2 linked regions of the Rhinolophus ferrumequinum genome follow. The protein of the gene in region 1 interacts with the protein of each later gene in a pairwise test. Links are inferred from orthologs where the notes say so. Each region holds a gene or a part of one and is shown on either strand. Other genes may lie near its edges.

Evidence for each region.
Region 2: the proteins of CEP57L1 (region 1) and RAD51D interact in binary tests that used the Homo sapiens proteins (3 or more experiments, as listed by UniProt). The two-hybrid records come from large-scale screens. The link is inferred for Rhinolophus ferrumequinum from reciprocal best matches to the Homo sapiens genes CEP57L1 and RAD51D.

The regions. Positions count from the first base shown.
Region 1 is NC_046286.1:61,796,629-61,806,991, forward strand, and holds the start of CEP57L1 (centrosomal protein CEP57L1), read left to right. Parts: upstream 1-6,390; 5' UTR 6,391-6,617; coding exon 6,618-6,737; intron 6,738-9,292; exon of another isoform or gene 9,293-9,333; coding exon of another isoform or gene 9,334-9,417; intron 9,418-10,363. Other genes in the region: SESN1 (sestrin-1), read right to left, coding at 5,014-5,292. UniProt on the Homo sapiens protein: Centrosomal protein which may be required for microtubule attachment to centrosomes.
Region 2 is NC_046304.1:23,033,421-23,043,691, forward strand, and holds the start of RAD51D (DNA repair protein RAD51 homolog 4), read right to left. Parts: upstream 5,003-10,271; 5' UTR 4,824-5,002; coding exon 4,742-4,823; intron 4,409-4,741; coding exon 4,347-4,408; intron 4,102-4,346; coding exon 3,983-4,101; intron 1-3,982. Other genes in the region: FNDC8 (fibronectin type III domain-containing protein 8), read left to right, coding at 6,466-6,674, 9,765-10,134. UniProt on the Homo sapiens protein: Involved in the homologous recombination repair (HRR) pathway of double-stranded DNA breaks arising during DNA replication or induced by DNA-damaging agents. Bind to single-stranded DNA (ssDNA) and has DNA-dependent ATPase activity.

The sequences.
Region 1 (10,363 bases):
AGCAGTGAATATTTGAGATGCAGTACCTAAAACTTTTGGCTTTGACTAGACATGGCAGTAAAAAAGAAATCAAAACAATCATTTAAAAAGGCCAAATCTGCTTCTAGAATGTCCCTAACCTGTTATGTTGTATTTTACAGCATCATTATAAAAAATAATTATGTTTCTAATGGAATAGAATCTAAATTATAATTAGATCAAAACAATATATTATCTAGTTAGATATAAGAGCAGTTTTAACGGCAGCCTCTGACTAAACCTGATTGCCTTCTGTCCCTCTCCTTCCTCACCAACAGAAATTCTTCATTAAAGTGACGGGGCTCTCCTGGCATTTAGGGGCTAAATGTGGATTAGTCCAAACCAAAGGTGGAATGCCCAATTTCCTTGCCAATGACTGGCTTAGAAAAGGGCATGTGACTCAGCCCTGCTCAGTAGAAACTAAGAGGAAATCTGCTGGAGGATTTCTGGGAAAAGCTTTTCTTCCTTGATAAACACATAGGAAAGAACTCTTCTTAGCTGCAGATAGATGGTCATGATTCTGTAGCTACTGTAGCAGCACTGCAACCATGAATGGAGACAGTAGTTGCTACACTGAGGAAAGGAGAACAAACAGATGGAAGGCAAAAAGGGAATGTAGTTCAGTTAATGAATCAATCAAGCTTGAAATTGCCCAACCTACAGACATATTATGACAAATAATGAGCCTCTTATTGTTAAACCTACAAACTATATATTCCCTATTTGGAGACCAACTGGATAATCCAACTGTAACTTTAACTGTAAATGTGCACCATTCCCAACAGCTAAAGTTTCATTTCTCACTGAGGGGTAACAATCGCGTCACTAAAGGAAAGCCTCCTCCACCCCACTGAACCGAGATAAATACTTTGTTACTTGGTCTAAATTTTCTATCTTAAGCCAAATTACTTTCAGACATTTGCAGATGAAAATGAAAATGATCAAATAACAATTCTTGGAAAAGTACTTGCTATTTTGGATACTCAAAATCTTTTGATATAAATATATATATACACATATATATGTGTGTGTGTGTGTATATATATATATATATATACACATATATATATACATTCACACACACACTCACATTTCCCCTCTTAATTACCATGCATCAAGACTATATAGTACACCAGTGAACCGTATTAGTATACTGGGCCAGTGTTATTACTTCTGTGCCTTTGTTTAGGGAATCAATCATATAAAAAAGGTATTACAGGATTAATTAAAAAAAAAAAAACCCTGTAAATAAAGCCTCCTATGAGAATAGAAGAACTTCCTCAAAAGCAGGGAACAAATCTTACTGATCTTCCAGTCCCCAGTACAGTTCTGACAGAGAATAGTTCTCAAAAATGTGTTGAACAGATTTACGTATGTTGACATGAAATCAATAAATTGAGAGCAGGAATACAAACATACTGCTCTCTCCCAATGTGCTGATTTTTTACAGGTTTAGCCATTTTAAGTTGCATTCATCCGACCATTGTCCCACCACGTCTCCCTAACAGACTACAGTTCTCTGAGCTGACCCATAGAATTAAGGATCTTCAGAACAGTTGAAAGAATTGCAAATGCACTTCACTCAGCCTTTGCTGCTTTACTAATGAACAGCAAAAAGCATTATGGAGCGCTACGATCTAAATTATTTGGTTTCCCTTGTGAGTCTCATGCCAGAGTGAGAGCAGTAAGGATGGGAGTGGTGGGCAGTGAGGACAGAGCAGTAGGGAGAAGCCAGATTGATGCTGGAATTCTTTAGATTCCACTCTGTTTTAAAGGATTTTAGGCAGATTTCGGCAGATTTTCACTGTAGATAAATGGCTCTGCAGTTACGTGGGGAATGGATATAAATAAAGGTGGAACATAGGTTAAGGCTGGAGGAGGGAGAACAATGGCAGAACTAGAACAGTGGTAGTAGGGGCAGAAATCCCTCAGGAGCTATTACTAACATGAGGTAACATAGGCAACAGGAATCTCAACATGTCTTAAATAGAACTCATCATTCCCCCTAAACTGACCCTCTACCACTCTTCTGTTTCAGGAAATGACGATAATTTCCTTCATCTCCTAGATCCAATTAAAGACTATATCCTATGGTTTCCAACTCCTAGCTCTCTCCCAAACCCATTCACTTTTTTCCACTATGTCCTACTCCGCCATCATTTTTGCTTTGGATAAGTGGACAACTGCCCAGCTGATGTTGCACATCCACTCTTGACCCCTGAAATCCATTCTCTTTGTTTCCAAAGGGAGCTTTCTGATACACCACGGACCATGTCACCATCTTGCTCAAAACCCCTCACAGGCTTCCCATTGTTCCTAGGATGAAGTCCACAACTCTTAACGTGGCTTACAAGATCCTCTGTTATGTGGCTGCCTAAAAACAGAATTCTAAACTGAGCGTTTCTTATGTGCTAGGGACTGTGCTATGTTTTGCAAGCATTGTTTCATTTTATTCTCATTGTGAGGCAGGAACTATTAGCATTGTCCTCATTTTGCAGATGAGAAAACCGAGTCAAGGAGAGATTATGTAATTTTTCTAAGGTTGTAGAGCTAATAAAGTATTGGAGCCAGGTCTGACTCCAGAGCTCGTGCTTAAGCTTTCACACTCCCCTCATCCTGTGCTCCAACCACACTGCATTACTTTCAGTCCTGAGAACTCATCCGCTCTTTTTGGCCAGGAGGCCTCCACACATGTTGTTCCCTGTGCCTGGAATGTCTTCCTCAAAAATCTCATTTTTGCCAGGATAGTATTTATTCACTCATCAAATCTCTGTTTAAATGTCATCTCTTCAGGGAAGTCTTCCCTACCTATCTAAAATTACATTATTTGTTTACTTCCTTCTGATCTGTCTCCCTTCAGTAGAATGTCAAAATTGTTCGGCACTGGTTCCCAGTTCTTAGAATGGCATTCACCTGGGGTTCGATAAACATTTGTTGAATGAAGGCATGACTGAATAATGTGGGGATGGAAACTCCCTAATTTAGTAACTTCATCTATTCAGACTGATAAGAAACAAAAAGAAGCCAAATATAAATTTGTTCATCCACTTGATATTTATTTAGTAGCTCCCAGGTCCCAGCCAATACTTTTGAGAACTTACAGCCCTCCCGGGGGAAGAGACACATAGGCATGATTATAGCACAATATAAGTAAAGTGCCTGTTAAAATTGTGGCAGGAATAAAGTGCAATAGATGCAGAGATGAAAAAAGGTATAAATCTACGGCAAACCTTTACAGTAGAGGAGATTCTTGGATCGTTTTGCAGAATGAATGAGTCTTGAAATATCTATCACATAGTCCATGTATTTCACTTATGAAAGGGGAGAGAAGCATCCACTATATACTGGGGCACTTTACATCGCATTTAATTCTCACAACAGCTCTGTTATTAATTCCCATTTTACAGATGTGGAAATCCAAACTAAAACAAGTCAAGGAACTTGTCCAAGGTTATGCAGTATATTAATAAAGGAGTATAGGTTGACCCAGTACCCATTTACTTACGGTTGTATCACAGTCCTTTGACCCTGTACTCCCCAGAGCCTAATTACTTGTTTTCATTATAACTCTTAACAAAATTGGTTATCTGGTTTCCCATTCTAACAGAAATAAGCAGCAAATGTAAAGGTTCAAAAAGAGACCAAAGTGAAGTATACTAACAGCAAAAAAAGGAACAGGAAAACCATAAAAACTGAACACAAAATTAAAAAAACATGGATCATATAGTCTTCTACATTCCACCCTTAGCTATGCAACAGTACTTGATGTGCATAATGATGACCCCATTATGAAAAAAGGTAATTGTAGTCACTACAGTCTATATGATAAATAATGTTGATGCTTGAGACGGTAAACTTCAGGTATCTAGAAAATTAATCCCTCTCTGGTAACCCTGGATAAATGAATTGTAATGATTATTTCCAAAGTGTCTGTAAGAAAAAATGTCCCAAGATCTTAAAAAGTCTCCATTTTATGGACATGGTTATTTTTCTATTGCTTTAAACTAAATTTTAGCCAGAATAGAAAAACTGTCCATCTTAACTTCCATATGTATACACAAGAAAATCATAAATTTGAAAAACTCACACTATGACTTTGAACACATGTAGATTGAGTAATTTAGACTGAGAAGCACAGTGTTACTGAGCATTGTTAATATCTAAAAACAACCCCTTAAAAGAGAACCATTTTAATAAATCTAATAAAACAGGATAAATTATGTACAAAACAAGAGGAAAACTATAATGTTTAACCTGTTGTACTCACAATTTAAATAGGTGTGTAGAGAAAAAAAAATTAAGCAAACACAGAGAAAGCTGGTTGAGTAATTTACCATAAAAGTGTTTCTGTCATATAGTCTACTTGGGTCCAACTTTTAAATCTGAAGATTTCAGCTCTTTTATAACATAAGCTTTTGTTACTTTATGTAATTCTTCTTCATTTTTTTTTTTTTTAAAGAATGGTTGCAGTTAAGACAACAGACCCTGGATTTTTTTGTTTTGTTTTTAAGAACAAGGGAAAATTGTTTCACCAATTATCTTGAACAAGCTGACAAGGGAACACTTAATATCCTTTATCATTTTGGAGGCTTTTAAATGTGAAACTTTCCACACAGAACACTGGTTGTAACAATGTAAAAAGCATACTGGCTACACTTCCCAACAACATGTAAAAATGAATATAGGGAAAAGTCAGTCTTTACTTGCAACTAACTATAACTCACACATTTTTTCCAGGAGCAATGCAGTTTCTGTTACAACTTTCTAGAAAGACAATACTTGTTTACTTATATTTGAAAATTGCTTTTATTTTAGTTCATGTTGCACAACTTTGGCCCCAAATTCAATGTTTTACAGAACACTCTAAAATTAAGATGTAGCCTGAACTCATAATAAGAGTTCATGTAACAACCTATTAGAAATAAAGTGAATTTAAGTGCAAGTAAAATTTTACTGTATTAGACAGACAGTTGTAATTATAATGCTCTTCCTTACCTGGACGCTCTTCAAAATAAACTCACTTTTCTCTCTTACATCTTTAAAGGGACACCTCTTAGAAAGCATAAGCAGATGAGCAAGCAGCTTATTCAACCCATCCAAAGAAACAGCATTTGAAAGCCCGTCTGATGGACAATAAGGTGTCTCTTTCACCGAACGAAGATACTCAGTTTTTCTCAAAATGATTTGCCTAATGTTTTCCAGTGCTGTCTCTCTAGCAGTTGAATCTCTACTGCACAGTCCATCCCATCTCATTTCATTCTCTCCTTCAGCCATGACAAACGGAGATTTTTTTCTTTGCAGTCTTCAGTTACCTTTCAGCATGTCCCCAAAGACATTTAAGGTGTTTTTAAACAAGAAATGTAAGAAAATCAGGGACATCGAATCGTCATGAAAACACACGTCTGGGTGACATTTGGAACCAGAAGTGTCTTTTAATATTGATGGCTTTCAAACGATCTGCAAGATAGACCTCACCCTCTCCTACACGCAGCGACAGTCTTCTGGTCGGAGACTAAAAAAAAGTTGGAAAGTTGAAACCTTACAGTGCTGGCTTTGCTGGACAGGGAAGTGTTCTCCGTCTCGCGGGGTCAGCGGATATCCTCACGTTGTGGAGCTGTCAAATCCGTGCTCTGCCCCAAAAGGCTGGTAACGTTGAACGCCCTCCAGCCATTCGGGTTTATTTGTGCAGCCACCGCGTTCTCCGGAGCGTTCCCACCCCGCCCCTCCTCGGGCACCAGTCCCCGCCCTCCGCAGTTGCTCCCTGCGCCTCAGCGGCGGGCTGGACGCAGGCTGGGAAGGCTCGCGGAACCGCGGCTCACTGGCCGCCGCGGCCGGAGACCCAAGCGCGCCGGGGAGGCAGCAGCCTCCAGCAGCCGCTGTCTCGGCGGCGTAGTCAGAGGACAGTGCCGAGGTCTGGTTGGCTCCGGACCCCCTGGCAGGCGCCGTTTCTCTCCCGATCGCTGCGTCCTCGCCCGCCGCCCACTGAACCAGACTGGCACCGGGCTGCCCCGCAATCCCCTAGCGCGGGTTGGGCCGCAGAGCTGGTGGAGCCGCAGGGCCCAGGCGCAGAACCCGCCTCTTCGCCCAGCCCCATCTGTGGGGCTCGGCCCAGAGGGCGGGAGCAGGGAGGGGAGATGGGGTCCTCACCCCCCAGCCCCTCCCCTTTCTCCGCCCGGCACAAACCAAGAGCCGCCCCTGCCCTAGCGCCCTGTTCCCCGCCCAGGCAGACGCGACCCGCAGAGGCAAAGCCATTGGAAAAAGCCCCGCCCTCCTCCAGCTACCTCCAGACCCCAAGTCCGTGCGCGACCGCTAACGGCGGCCGGATGCCACGCATGCGCGATGGCGAGCAAGGCGCATGCGCCTTAAGGCCTTGACGTTTGGATTCTCTGGACTGGCGAAGGGAAAGAAAAGTAAGGAGTTGAAGTACCTTGAAACTTTCACAGACAAGGCAAGCACGGCAAAGACGGACGCGCTCCTGGAAGAAACTGAATCTAATCTTAAGATTGGCCTAAAATTAGTGACTATCTCTTTATTACTCCAAATCCTTTATTCAAGGAGGTAGGGCGTCCTCCTATTGAGTGCTGGGAAATGTAGTTTTGATGCTGCTGGCGCGTTCCGTTTGCGATAGAAACTACAGCCCCCACAAACCACTGCGACGTTGCCTTTGGCGGCGGGCGAGTCGACCGTTAGCGCGCTGGGAGACTGAGAGCGTCAGCTTGGTGAGAACTGTAGGCTTGGATGCCACTTTTCCCTTGACAGGGTTTTTCCTTCCTACATTCCTCTGAGATTTTGGAGACAAAGCCGTCGAGGGTTGTCCTCCTTAGTCCAGGGACTTTTTCTAGTAATCTGTGTGGGAAGGACTAGTTCGGGTGCCCAAGCCCGAGGGGCGCGTGGAGGCGAGAAAGTGGGAAAGGTGGCGAATCTAAGAGTCCGAGGGAGCCGCAGACGGCCAGACAAAGAGGGATGCTGTAGGAAGGAGTGCTCCGCGCTGCTGCCTCTGCTTCCGCCCTTTCAGGTGGACTCGTGCGCGATGGATTCATGAATCCCTGTGCAATTGCACCTTTCTTTTGCCGTTGCTTAAGGGTTTTCTGGGCTTTATTTGCTCAGCCAACATGACATCCAAGCAGGGCTTTGCTTTGAAAGTGAGTTGTGAAATCCATTTTATATGAGACTAAAGGGAAAAGACTATCAAGAATATCTGGTATTCCTTGGTATGAATTTTTGCAGGCTTTAAGGATACTATATGAAAAAAGACCTGTAAAAATATTCAAAATTTTAAAAATTCAACCATGTGTTTACAAATTGCTGGTTTTTAAAAAATATCATTCCTCTTAGGAAAAGTCGTGAGCTGATAACCAAATTAAATTTTAATTGTTCACATTGCCGAATAAACGTGTTTCAAAATATGTAGCCTTGTTAGGTCCAGAGTATACAACAGTGAAAAAGATACAGCTCCTATGTATGAAGTTAGAGAAACGAATGGTTAAACATACGGTTACAGTACTGTGTGATATCCTTGGAATGGCTAGAGAGAGGCTCATTTAGCCCAGCCTTGGAAAGTCATGAAAACCATCCCAGTGAAAGAGAGGGCCAAAAGAACAGCATATGGTAAGGCCCAGAAGTGAGAGAGATATGGTACTTTCAGGAAACTACAAAAAGTCAATGGTACTTTCAGGAAACTACAATAAGTCAAATCATATATTTTGAGAGGGATAACTTTTTTTGTATTGATGTACTTTGAAGCTGCAAAGAGACAGGTACTGTAGATTCCAGATACGTAGTTTCTGGAAGTGACCTATCCTTGAACAGATTTATAGTTTCAAAGAATTGGTCTCATTTGGAAAGCCTGGCTACATTCTGATGCTACTAGTTTAATTCAGAATTTTAAAAAATAAGAACTTCTTATGAGTATGATTTCACAAAACAAGCAAAAAAAGTCATTCTTTTTGTGTGTGTGTGTCTTCTTTTTGGGCTCATCCTCCTTTGTCCAACCCCCAAAGGGTAGGGTTTCTTACGTCTAGGTCCCCTTTTTACTGCATAGTTGAAACTGTTCTCATCCATACCCATGCTTTCACCACCACCTATGATTCTTAAATGCATAGCTCCATCCAGCTTCACTTTCAGCTTTCATAGATCCATCTGCTTGTAGTATTTTGACGGCTTACGTTAAAGCCTGAGAACAGGTGGAATCACAAAACAGGCACTCCACTGAGTTTGGGTTGATTTGGAGTTATATACAAAGATGAATATGCAGGAGAGGCCGGTGAATGGACAGGAAGACCCACTTGTCCTAAAGCCAAATGAAAGTGATTAAGGAGGAAGAGTGCTAAATTACGTTAAATGCTGCCCTAGGTCAAGTGAAATGAGGATTGATGATTGACCACTACGTTTAGCAATGTAGATATCACTGAAGATCTTGAGAGCAGTTTTGGTGGAATAAAGGGTAAAAGCCAGATGGGCATTTTATTTAAGAGAAAAATAGAACTGGAGACTGTGGCTGCAGCCCCTCTGGTACTGTTTTCTTTGTTCAGACTTTTCTAGCCTGTCTTTGACTCCTCTTCCTGTAGATCTTAGCTCAAATATCACGTTCTCAAAGTTACCTGAGCTGAATAAATGCCCCTATTATAAATTTACTATCATTATATCATATATCTTTACTTGCTAATAAGTTATAAATTTGTTTCTGCAATTGTCTGTGTGCTAATTTGATTAAAGCATGCCTGCTACTGAAGCATAAGTACACAAGAGCAGTGACTGTGCTGAGTTTTGCTCTTGCTCATCATTTCCAGCTCTGAGTACAGTGGTTGGCATCAAGTATGAACTTAATAAATATTTGATGAATGAATGGAAGAAAAATGTAATGACAGAATTTTCAAAGGTATTAACATATTTACCTGTTGTTTACAAAACACAAGATAATGGATGGAAGAAGGTACTTTATCATGAAAACATTTTAGAAAATTAATCTTAAAAGAGCAAAGCTTTTAGTGCTAGTGAATTGTAGTGCTAACCTTCATGAAATAGGATTTGCTAATATTTTTACCATGTTCCTGCCACCTCATCCTGCTATAAGATAACAGAGTATTTAATAATACTCAAAAAGAGTTTGAAGACTTTGTCTAGAAATAAATGATAAAAATTTATTCAAGGGTCTTAGGTTTTGCAAGCAAGAAACATAACTAGGGAAAAACCCAGAAAGTGTTCCGGAGGAGAAGGTAAAGTTAAGAGTTCTTATAGTACAAAGTGCATTCTTTAATCAGTCCTGCACTCCTAGCCCTAGGGTTGGTCCAGGATGGTTCTCAGCCTGGATGATGGATGCCAGGTGTTCTGGAGGACGGGTGCCTGGAGGTCTGGTCACATCTAGTGTTCTGGATAACGGATGTCAAGTGGTCTGGATACGTGAGTCCTCCATGGGCTGTTCTGAATGTTATCTGGAGGTCTGATACATGTTCAGGCATTGTCGCAGGACTGGAAAGTTCAAAAGTTTAAGTTTCCAGGCTAGTTAAATCAGAGTAGAATCATTTCTCATACCTCAGCCTACTTGATTTTAGTAATTTAGCAGCTTGACTATAGGGACTCCATTTTATTGCTTCACAGTTCATATATATATATATATATATGTGTGTGTGTGTGTGTGTATATATATATATGTGTATATATATGTGTATATACATATGTGTGTGTGTATGTATATATATATACATACATACATATGTATATAGTAGAATACATGTAGAGAAGTAAAAGAATATATGTAGAGGAGTTGCCTCTTTAAATGAATAGTGCTCTAGTCAAGAAAAAGGCTGACTTGGTTGGTCTCCAAGAGGCCTTCATTATAAAATTCGTTAATGAATTTACTATAAAAACAAAACAGGGCACCTGAGGTTTATGGGCTTAGAAACACAATCTTGCTAAGTGTACCAGTTTGTGAGACTTCGAGATAAATATATATATAGATCTATCTATCTATCTATAGATAGATATTTGAGTGATACAGGCTACTGATGAATTTATTGTGATGCCGATTGTTATACTTTGAGATATTTGCCAAATAGATAGCACACTGATTCTCTGACAAAGGGGTTTTCTCAGGAAAATTACATGAGAAATCAGCAGGTTGCTTAGGAGGTAGGATTCAGAACAAATGTGGTCACTTAAAAGCGTTAAGCTATGAGAACCTCCACAGTAGAGCTTTACTTGCCTCCAAGTGTTGTCTTCTCTGAATTGCTTTTTCTGTTTCCATTCCTGACATCCCTTCTTTTTGATAAAAATATTCTTTCTTTAAATATGCTAAGGCGTTTGTATTGCAGCCTAGTCTGTGGCCTTAGGGCTGTTCTGTCTCTAT
Region 2 (10,271 bases), on another chromosome or scaffold:
CACCCCTTGTCTAACACTGCATTCATCTTCACAGGTGCCAGTCCTCTGAAATGGCTCTGCAAGACCTCCCACGACCCCTCCGTATACGCCAAGTAGCACCTTACTAAGCACCCCATCTATTTCAATTCCAGGGACCCCATGATTAGAACCACAGGTCCCTACCAGTCCAAACACTCTGGTTACCACTGCAGCCCTGTGGCTTCCTGGGATGACTGTGTTTATCCTGTGTCTGTTTTAATAAGCACCTTTTTAAAAACACATCCAGCCTCTACCGCTCCTGGATGCCATTCCTCCCCCTGAGATTAGAGAACCCGCAGTCCCATTGCAGCAGCGCTTCTCCCAGTATCTTCCCCAGAGCAGCAGCAGCGGCGGCATCACCTGGGAACTGGGTAGAAATGCAAACTCTCAGGCCCCACCCCACACCTAGCGAACCAGAAACTCTGGGGCTAGAGACCGAATCTGAGTTCTATCTCCGGGTGATTTGGATGCGTGCTCGAGTTTGAAAACCATTAAGCTAAGCTAGTGATCTCAATCCTACCTGCCTATTACAATCACCAAAGGAATTTAAAAAACAGGCCGGTATCAGCGGTTTCCAAACTTGCTTGTACCCTGGAGTCGCCTGGGAGCTTCAAACAATACTGATATCTGAGTCTCATCCCCAGAGAGTGCGATTTGTCTATAGAAGCCTGGCTTTTGCATGTTTAAAGTAAGCACTCAATAAACAGTCTTGAAAGAATGAATTACAGGAGAAAAGTTGGAAATTTCCAAATTGGTGATTGAATAATTAATTATGGGTAAACTGTGATTTATACATATTATATAATATTGTATGACCACTAAAATGTTTTGAAGACTTAAAGACATTGGGGAAATGTTAAGACATTGGAGAGAACGTGAAGCAAAAGGGATGATAACAATGTGTACACTATCTAACAGGAATCTTAGATATTATGGACACAGAAAGGCTAAAATTATTAACTGAGGTGGTTTTTCTTTTTTTCTTTGTGTTTCCCTGTGTGTTGCAAATTGTCTATCATGAGCATGTATTACTTGTATAAACAGAAAAACACTAAATGTTACTATTTTTTATGATGCTGTAACATTCCGACCTGTAATAAAAACGTATCCATTAAAAAGAATTCTCGGGCAGCTGACTGACTTAGTGGTTAGAGTGCAGGGCGCATAACACCAAGGTTGCCAGTTCGATTCCCACATGGGCCAGTGAGCTGCGCCCTCCAAACTAGATTGAAAACAACGACTTGACATGGAGCTCATGGGTCCTGGAAAAACACTGTTCCCCAATATTCCCCAATAAAAAAAATTGTTTTAAAAAGGATTCTCAGGTGACTCTAATGTGCGGACAAGTTTGGGAGCCACTAGCCTAGAGCAGGTAAATCAGAATTTCTAAAGGCGAGACCGAGGTATAACTACTTCTTAAGCTTCCAAATGATTCTAATGTGCAGCCTGGGCTAAATCATTGGGTTCTCCAGTCAAGAATCAAGCACATTCTTGGCCGTGAGGATCACTCTGCACAAGGAATTTCCAAATCCACCTCCCAGCTGACTTTTCACCTGTTTTGTTCCATGTCTCTTTCTGCCTAGAGGACCTCTCTACTGATCACCTCTAACTCAGCACACTGAAATGGAGACAGACCCCGCTGCCGTGTGGAGCAGAAGAATACCTGGGTTTTACCACTTGCTTTGGATACAAGTGACTTCTGGGATTTATCCTCTACCTTTCCCTCTGAACTGGCTTTTAGTCATTCCTTCACAGCCATTCATTCAATCATCACCTGAATGCCCCACATTTCCTGAAGGCCTTATTCTAAAATAAGGGAGATATAGAAATGAACAAAACATGTCTACGGCCTTCAAGGAACCACTCAGCCCCCCCTCCCCCCAATCCATACAGCTTCTTCCAAGGTACATTCCATGTTCTACTGTCCTCATAAAAGTCCACACTGCATATCTGCACTAAAGGCTCTGGGAAGGTCTATGACAAAGAGATCTCTTTAACTCGGGTTACTGGAACATTTCCCAAATTTTTGACTAAAGAACTCCCCTCCTGGTTCCCTTTAAAACATCACATCCATTCACTGTCCACAGACCACTGTGAGGAAGGAGAAACCTAGGGAGTCATCTTTGATTCTTCACACCTGAATCCTACCTGGCAGTAAGGCTTGCCACTTGTCCTCATCAATACGTCTCCCGCTGTCACCTGCCTTAGATCGGACTCACACACCCCACCGCTGCCATCCCTTTCCTTGGGCTCTCTCCTGCCAGCCTCCCTAGTCCCATCCACCCTGCACACCTCTACCACACGCCTGTAGCTCTAGTTTCACAATACGGCCCACCGCCTTGAGGGACAACAGGGTAGATGGTTTAGAGTCAGGTTCTTAGACTTAGGAGTATGACAGATGTGACTTCTGGGGTCTAGTCTGCCACTTACTAGCTGCATGATCTTGAGCAAGCCACCTAACCCGAGTCTCAGTTCCTCATCTAAAGAATGGTGATTTTAGTTGTAATGCACTCATTGGTGGTTGGGAAGAACAAATGAAATAATGCACCGTGAAGTGTAAACACGGTGCCTGGCCTTTGGTAAGCACTGAGAAAGGCCACGCGTTCCTCAATGCCCAAGACCTGCCTCCTTCACAGAGGCTTCCTGAGCCTCTCTGCTCTCCCCTGCAGTGACCCTCTGCAGCTGCAATCCTGCCAGTTTACCACTTGACTGCTCCATAAATGCTTCCTCTGAGGATGTTGGTTTTATAAGCTCCCAAAGCCCAAAGGCCAAGTCTGTTAATCACCCCTTTCTTATGCGGCCTCCACGCATGCATGCACCTCTCTGTTGTGTTCACCTGCTCTTCTTTCTACTCACTAGACCCCACACTCAAGTGCAGAAGCCTCACTTGCACACCTATCATCTGAATCTTATCTGGCACCCAATAGGCACTCAGCCAGTGCTTGATGGATAACAGACTCAGACCCCCAACCAGGGGGAGCAGGCACCATGCTGTTGAACCTTGCCAAGAGAACGTGTTATGGAAACAGCAAGGGTCAAACTGATCCAAAAACCTTTCTGATGGTAGAGTTCTTCATCAAATTCCACACCAACAGGCCCTTGGCTAGAAACTGGCTGTTGTCCTCCATCTCTCTCTCTCTTTCAACAACATGGCAGAATGTATTAGGTTGGTGCAAAAGTAACTGCGGTTTTCGCAATTATTTTTAACCTTTTAAACCGCAATTACTTTTGCACCAACCTAATAACTAGTCCTTTATGGAAGCTCTCTTGTCCCCTCCTGCTGCAGAGTATGGGGCATGCACCAAGTTCTAGGTCAAATACCCCAGGGCTTGAGCCCCACCTCTGCCCCTCACTCCTCTTGGGTTAAACTGAAGTGGCTTAATAATTACTAACTCACAGGATTCACTGAAGTGATTATATAACCTACATTCAATGGCTGGCACATAGTAGGCACTCAGTGAATGTTAGTCCTGCCAAGTTCCCTCCTGCACTATCCTTAAGTTAAAATAGGAGGTAGGGCCAGAGAAGAGTTGCTCTGATATGCTGAATAACAGTGAAATATTGACATCGTGTGTTACAGGACAGTAGTTCTCAATCAGAGACAATTCTGTGTCCCTCAGGGTCATTTGGCAATTTCTGGAGACATTTTTTGATTGTCATGACATAGGGAGGAGGGAGGTGTTACTGGCATCTAGTGGATAGAGACCAGGGAGGCTGCCAAACATCCTACAGTGCACAGGACACCCTGATCGCCACCAAATAATTATGTATCCCAAAGTGTTAGGAGTGTGAGGTCGAGAAACCCCGTTTAAGGTAAGAGAAGTCAGAAGTCTTGACCATTGGTCCAAACGGGCCTCACCACTGCCTGAGAAACCCTGCTCTCTAGACTCAAGCATCAAAACCCAAGCAGGAGGCAGCCATGTCCTCCTGCCTCTGACCTTCTTCCCCAAGTACACATACAAACCTTCCAATGCCGGTAGACAGGATGGCAGTGGAGGTCTTCAGTTCCTCGTAGAGATCAGCGCCATTGAAGGGAAAAGCTGAGAATTGGGCGAGCAGTACCCGCCTCAGCGCAACCAGGGCCTGCCGGAGGGGCGGGGACAACTCAGGACGAGCCCAGGGGCACTTCAACCCAAAGCGGACCAAGAGTACTCAGCAACCAAGAGTACTCAGCCACGAGCAATGACCAGCCAAGGGAGGGGGCATCCCAGGGTCTCCTACGCCCCACCCCACCCCCCCCATCAATCTCTCGGAACCCTTCACTCCCTGGGCTCAGGGATGAACATGTAGAAACACCCCGGTTTGGAAAGTGTAGTTCGTCAGCTCACCTTATAAGACAAGCCACATTTCTGGGCTACCTCCTCCAGGTCTGCGGAAACCAGGTCCACCACTGAAAACAAAACAAGTGTGGATGATTGGCAGGAAGGGCGGGGCTTCCCGCACTTGGCTTTTCCTCATCTGTGAAATGGGGTGACAGTGTTACCTTAGGGCAGACCATCATCTCAGGAGGCCTACGGGAACTACCAGAGCCACAGGACCTGACGCGGTGCCCAGCACACAGTAGGAGCCTGCCTGGGGTTTGGGGTGCCCACTCCCTCCCTCCGAGCCTCTCCAGAAGGGTGGGGGGCACAGGAAGGCGGAGCTATCCCCCTCCCGGGTATGTCAGGGCGGTGGGGGTGGCATCCGCGGTGTGCCCAGCTGTGTGGGGCGCACACGCGGTCACCTGTCTTGATCCCGCGGCTCCTCAGAAGCTGGATCATGTCCTGGGTAAGGCCTGGGCACAGTCCGGCCCTGAGCATGCCCATGTTCCCTGGGGACCCCGGGCCGCTATTCCCGTGGACATCAGCGGGGCCCTTTCTAGACGCCTCCCGGCGCCTCTTTCTGGAGGGGCCCCGGGCCCGCGGGGACGAAAGGAAGCGGCGGCGCGGAGAGTGCGGACCCTGCCGGGTCTCCCTTGCCCAGGGCCCGCCCTCCCGGGCCGCAGGGCCGCTTCCGGCTTCCAGGCTCCAGGGCCGGACCGATAGCGCCATCTGCTGGCTGCGAGGGACGGACGAGCGGCTTCCTGCGAGCCTCGGTTCTAAACGCTGGGCCAGGAAGCTCGACAAGGCTAGCCATCCCTATGCACAGGGGACCTGCTTGTTAGTGAGGGCAAGACAGTGAAGAGAAATCAAATCAATTAAATAGTATGGGGGCAGCCGGTTTGCTCAGTGGTTAGAGCGCAGTGCTCATAACACCAAGGTCGCCAGTTGCATTCCCACATGGGCCAGTGAGCTGCGCCCTCCACAACTAGATTGAAAAAACGACGATTTGACTTGGAGCTCATGGGTCCTGGAAAAACACACTGTTCCCCAATATTCCCTAATAAAAATTTTTTTAAAAAGTTAAATATTACAGATTATATCATTGGTGCTAAGAGGCAACGGAACACACAGAAAACACCTGCTTCTCTGTACTTTCCATTTTTTAATGAATAACAGCAAAAACCCTGAGTATATAGAACACAAAAAATAGGATTTGTTATTTTTAAATGTCCTTTGCTTTGTCTCATCCTGGAAGAAACAAAACAACCTTACAGGGTTATCTTCTCATAATCCAATGAGGCAGGTGCTATGTTTATCCCTATTTCGCAGATGAGGAAACTGAGGCTCAGGGAGGTAAAGTCATATCTCAAAGACTACAGAGCTTGTAAGGGCAGAGCTGGATTTAGCACAGACAAATCCACATCTAAGTGCAAAGCCAATGCTCTTCTCTTCTTATCCCCGAAGTTGTATGTTTTCCTACTGTACAGTGGTGTCCTTGAGAACAGAAATAATGTCTGGCCCATCTTTGTTTCCCTCTGCAGCACTCCCAACTGTCGCTCAACATACGAAGCACTTGGGGTGAGGGTGTGGCATGTTTAGAAGTCTAGCCATGAAACCTGGGTATATGTGAGCTATGAACTCCATGAACTTATGGGCTTTCCCTTTGCCTATATGACTGAACATAGTGAGGCTGTGCTGCCTAGAATTTTGGATAGAGAGCCTCAGTGTTCTACAAAGTCTCGTACTCCCAGAGACCCATTCCAGCGCTGCCTCCCTCCGTGCCCAGGTGTCTTTCTCCCACCATCCTTCTCCTCCTTCCCAGGGCAGCACCAAAAGGTACAGGTGGTAAACATTTTGAGATCTTCAGAGGACAGAGTTGCTGTAACCACAGAGCATTTGCGCTGGAAGGGTGATGGAGTCTGTTCCTTAGCTCTACCCCACTCTAGATCCTGGCCCTGGGCAGCAGCAGCCTCAGATCAAGGGAGAGGCTTGCCCCTAATTGTTATGCTCTGTGATGTTTATGAAGTCAGCTCATTGCACCCCCATCCCACCCAAATTAGGGTGGGTCCGCTGCCCCCAGTTTCTCTCTGCCTCCTGTCAGCTTGGTTGTCCTGTACGGTGACAGCTGTGGTCCCAAACAAACTAGATGGCATCAGAGGTGCTCTGTAAAGTGGGAGATGGGGAGGAGACCATGCTGAAAAAGGAAACCCTCAATGTTTCGAGTGTGCTTGATCAAAAGTCGAAGCCCTTTCCAAACCCCAAGTCTATGAACAGGACGGTTGCTACCAAAGGACTCCCACTTTCCTCAAGAGGCAGTTTGGTTAACTTCTTGGAGGAAGATACCATCAATCTACCGTAAGACAAAAGTCTGGTCCTTTTCTCCTTTCTTAGGCCAGGGCTGAGGGGTGGGGAAGGGCTTGAAGAAGCGGTACTTTCTGGACCTGTCACAACCCAGGTCCTGAGCTCCCAGGGAAGAGCATGTGTGCAGGATGCACCATGGATTCCGGACCCCAAATCACTTCTTGGAGGCATGTGGGCCTGCAGTTCCAGGAGGCCTTTCGGGATTAGTTAGAGATTTGTTAACAGTGCTTCTCGTCTACTTTGTCTAGTTAAGGTCTTTTTCCCACACCCCCAGCCACCCACAGACACCCCTGCTCCATTCTACTCCCCTAAGACTCCTCTTCTCAATCCTCCCTTCTGGTGCCTTCTGCTGCCTGATTATATCCCCCCAATAGTCTGCCTGCTTTTGGACTGAGGTTTATGTTCCTCCTCAGTAATTCTGGGTTCCATTTACTTCATTCCAAAAAACTCTTTGAGCTCCTGCAAGGTGTCTAGCCCAGGGTTAAGTTCTGGGAAGGCAGAGCTGAAAAGAACAGTCCCTGCCTTTAAAGAGCTCCCAGCCTGGGGTATGTGTGTTGGGAAGGTGCCAGGAAAGAATTGCGAATAAAGCAACTAGGAAAGGACACTGAGGCACCAGAGGGGGGTTAGTATAGCTTGGAGGGGGGTTCAGTTAGGGAAGGCTTCCTGGAAGAGGTGACATGTGAGCTGAATCTCCTAGGAAGGGAAGCAGTGAGCCAGTGAAGGGGTGGTGGTGCAGGTTGATGGAGGCTGAGGGAGTTATCTGCAGGGCATTTTCATGGGCGTGTGACCTGTGTAGTCATACACAACCCCACACTTAGAAGGGCCCAGTGCTTAACTTCAATGCTCCGCTGTCACTGTCTTGAAATTCTTAATAATTTTTGAAGAAGGGGACCCACAAACTATGTAGCTCGTCTTGATTATAGAAAAGGGATGTAGTGTCCCTTCCCCCTAATGGACCTGTAAGTAAGCGGGTATGGCTAAAGTCATGGATGTTTATAGGAAACTTCATGGTATAGTAGGAAAGTCTAGGGCTATGAGGCCACGTTCAAATCCACGTTCTACCATTTAGATCTATGGCTGTAGACTGAAGGTCATTAATTTGCAAAATGGGGCTACCACCCATCTAGTAGGGCTGCTGTAAAGATCAGAATAGAATATGTCCAGCATGTAGCCTACTTCTTCCCTGCCTTCCATGCCCACTTCTGCACTGGTGTTTTGAATAAGGAAATCTAAAATAGAGGTTCATTAGGACAATCTGAAGTATAAATGGCATTAATACTCAGACTCTTCGGCGTATAAGAGACCTTAGTGAGGGAATCATCTGTTCCAAATGTCCACCAAAGGCTAGCATAGGAGCTTTGAGTTGATCAGGATATTTTTAGGAGGAGGCCGACGGGGCTGGAGCTCAGGGAGGAAAAATTTGGCCCATCAACCAACCATGAAGCCTGTGGCTGGTCTGGAGTAAGGGATCCAGGGGTGTGTGGTGGTTGCTGGACTTGGCCAGAGCAGCTGGGGGAGATGGGGTAGGAAGCAGAGGAGAAGAGCCAGGGACAGATGGGAGCTACATAGCAATGGGACAGGCCTGGGACCCCGGAGACCTGGGTTTTAGTTCAAACTCTGTCATCAATTCACTGTGTGACCTTGACTGCCCTCTCTAGACAAGTGCTCTTCAAACTGTGGGTTGTGACCCATTAGTGAGTCAGGAACTCATTCTAGTTGGTAGAGACCAATATTTTAAAAATGAAATAAAACAGATCAAAAATTCCAGGGCCTATCACGCATAAAGTACTGGTTTGTGCAGTTGTGTTTTAGTTGTATGTATATGTATGAGTATACTACATTGCCATGTAATGTGTATTTCTTTGAGTCAAGATAAAAAAAAGATTTGAAAGCCAATTTTTGGGGGATTTTGCACTTCATCAGTAATAAAAAAAAAAATTAAGTAGTGGGCAAACATGTGGAAGGTTTGTCTTTGTAACAGTAAAGAATTGGTAACAATACAAATATCCCTGTAATGGAAAACCACACAAAAATCAAAATGACTGAGTCAGAGCTACATGTATAATACAGATAGATCTAAAAAGCACAATGTTGAGTGAAAAAGCAAGCTACCATCGATATGTACACAATGTGATCATTTATTTGTGTAAAGTTTAAAAATATGCAAAATAGGCCTTGCTTAGGGATAACATACATATGTAACAAACCCATAAAGACATATGGGGAATAATAAACACAAAATTTTAAATTTACTGGTTAGCTCTTAGAGGGAGTATGAGGACGGAGGTGGGGAGAGACACGTCCGGGGCCTTAACTATCTTGATGAGGCTTTAGTTCTGAAGCTGGATGATGGCTAAATAAAAGCTTAATAATATTAGGTTGATGCAAAAGTAATTGCGGTTTTTGCAATTATGTTTAACCTTTTAAACCGCTATTACTTTTGTACCAACCTAATATATTATTCTTGATATCTTTGGATATGTCTAAAATAGTTCATAATTTTAAGAAATTAGAAGAAAAGTTTGAGAATTCACCCCAGTATATGTATATTTATAATAATTTTACGGCTATATATTTTACATGTTAAATGCTAAGTAAATGAATTAGTAATTGCATTACATATTAAACAATAATAATAAATAAATGTTAATAAAGCTGCATTTATTTTTTTTTTTTTTTAGATACTTTTAGATATTTTCCCATACCTCAGGAGATCACTGTGCTCATTTCCTGGAGCGTTTGCGCCCTGCTTTGGAGGGAGGACTTCCAGTTTTGGCAGTCTTTCTCAAATTGTGGTTCTCAGAACAGCTGCGTTAGAATCGTCTGAGGATCCTATTAACTTTAGCAGCTCCCCCACCCCCATCCCCCCTGGGGTCTGGGGATCAGGAACCTGCGTTTTTTCACTACTAAGTGCCCGGGCGGGTTTGATGTGCTGCCACGCAGCAGTAGGACGTTCTCAGTTGTTCAGAAGCAGCTGGGGACCTTTGTAAGTCAGGCCCAAGGCATGGCCTCTGGCAGCTTCCAAGCTGCATGGGCTGGGGTGGGCTCCTTCATCTGGCTCATCTGTCTCCCCTCCCACTCCAGGAAGCCGATGCCAGGGGAGGATTCTGAATGTAGCTCCGACGATACCAGCATCTCCCCCATCTCATCCACCTTGTTGAATCCCATCAAATTGGCAGTGACCCAGCCCAACAGCAGCTTCTTTGCAGGGATGCTGGAAAGCGAGCTGAACAAACTCAGCCTCTCCTCCATGGCCAAGAATACAGAAAAGGGAGCGCTGGCCCTCAGCCCCCACCGATATAAGTCCCAAGTGGCCACTGGGGGCCTGCTGGACCTTGACAACCCTGAGCTGGATAAGGACACGTCCTCCACACCCTCGGAGTCCTCTGTGGTCATGGACATACCAGAGGCACCTTTCATCTGTGAACACACAGTCAGCGATTCCACGGCCGTGGTGCGTTCCCTGACTTGTACTTGCAGCAAAGGCTTACTGTCTGCCCCCAATGTGCCAGGCACTGAGCTGAGCTCTGTGGGGGAGTGTAACGATCCCTACCACCTGCATCCTGACCTCAAGTTCACGGGTTAGGAGAG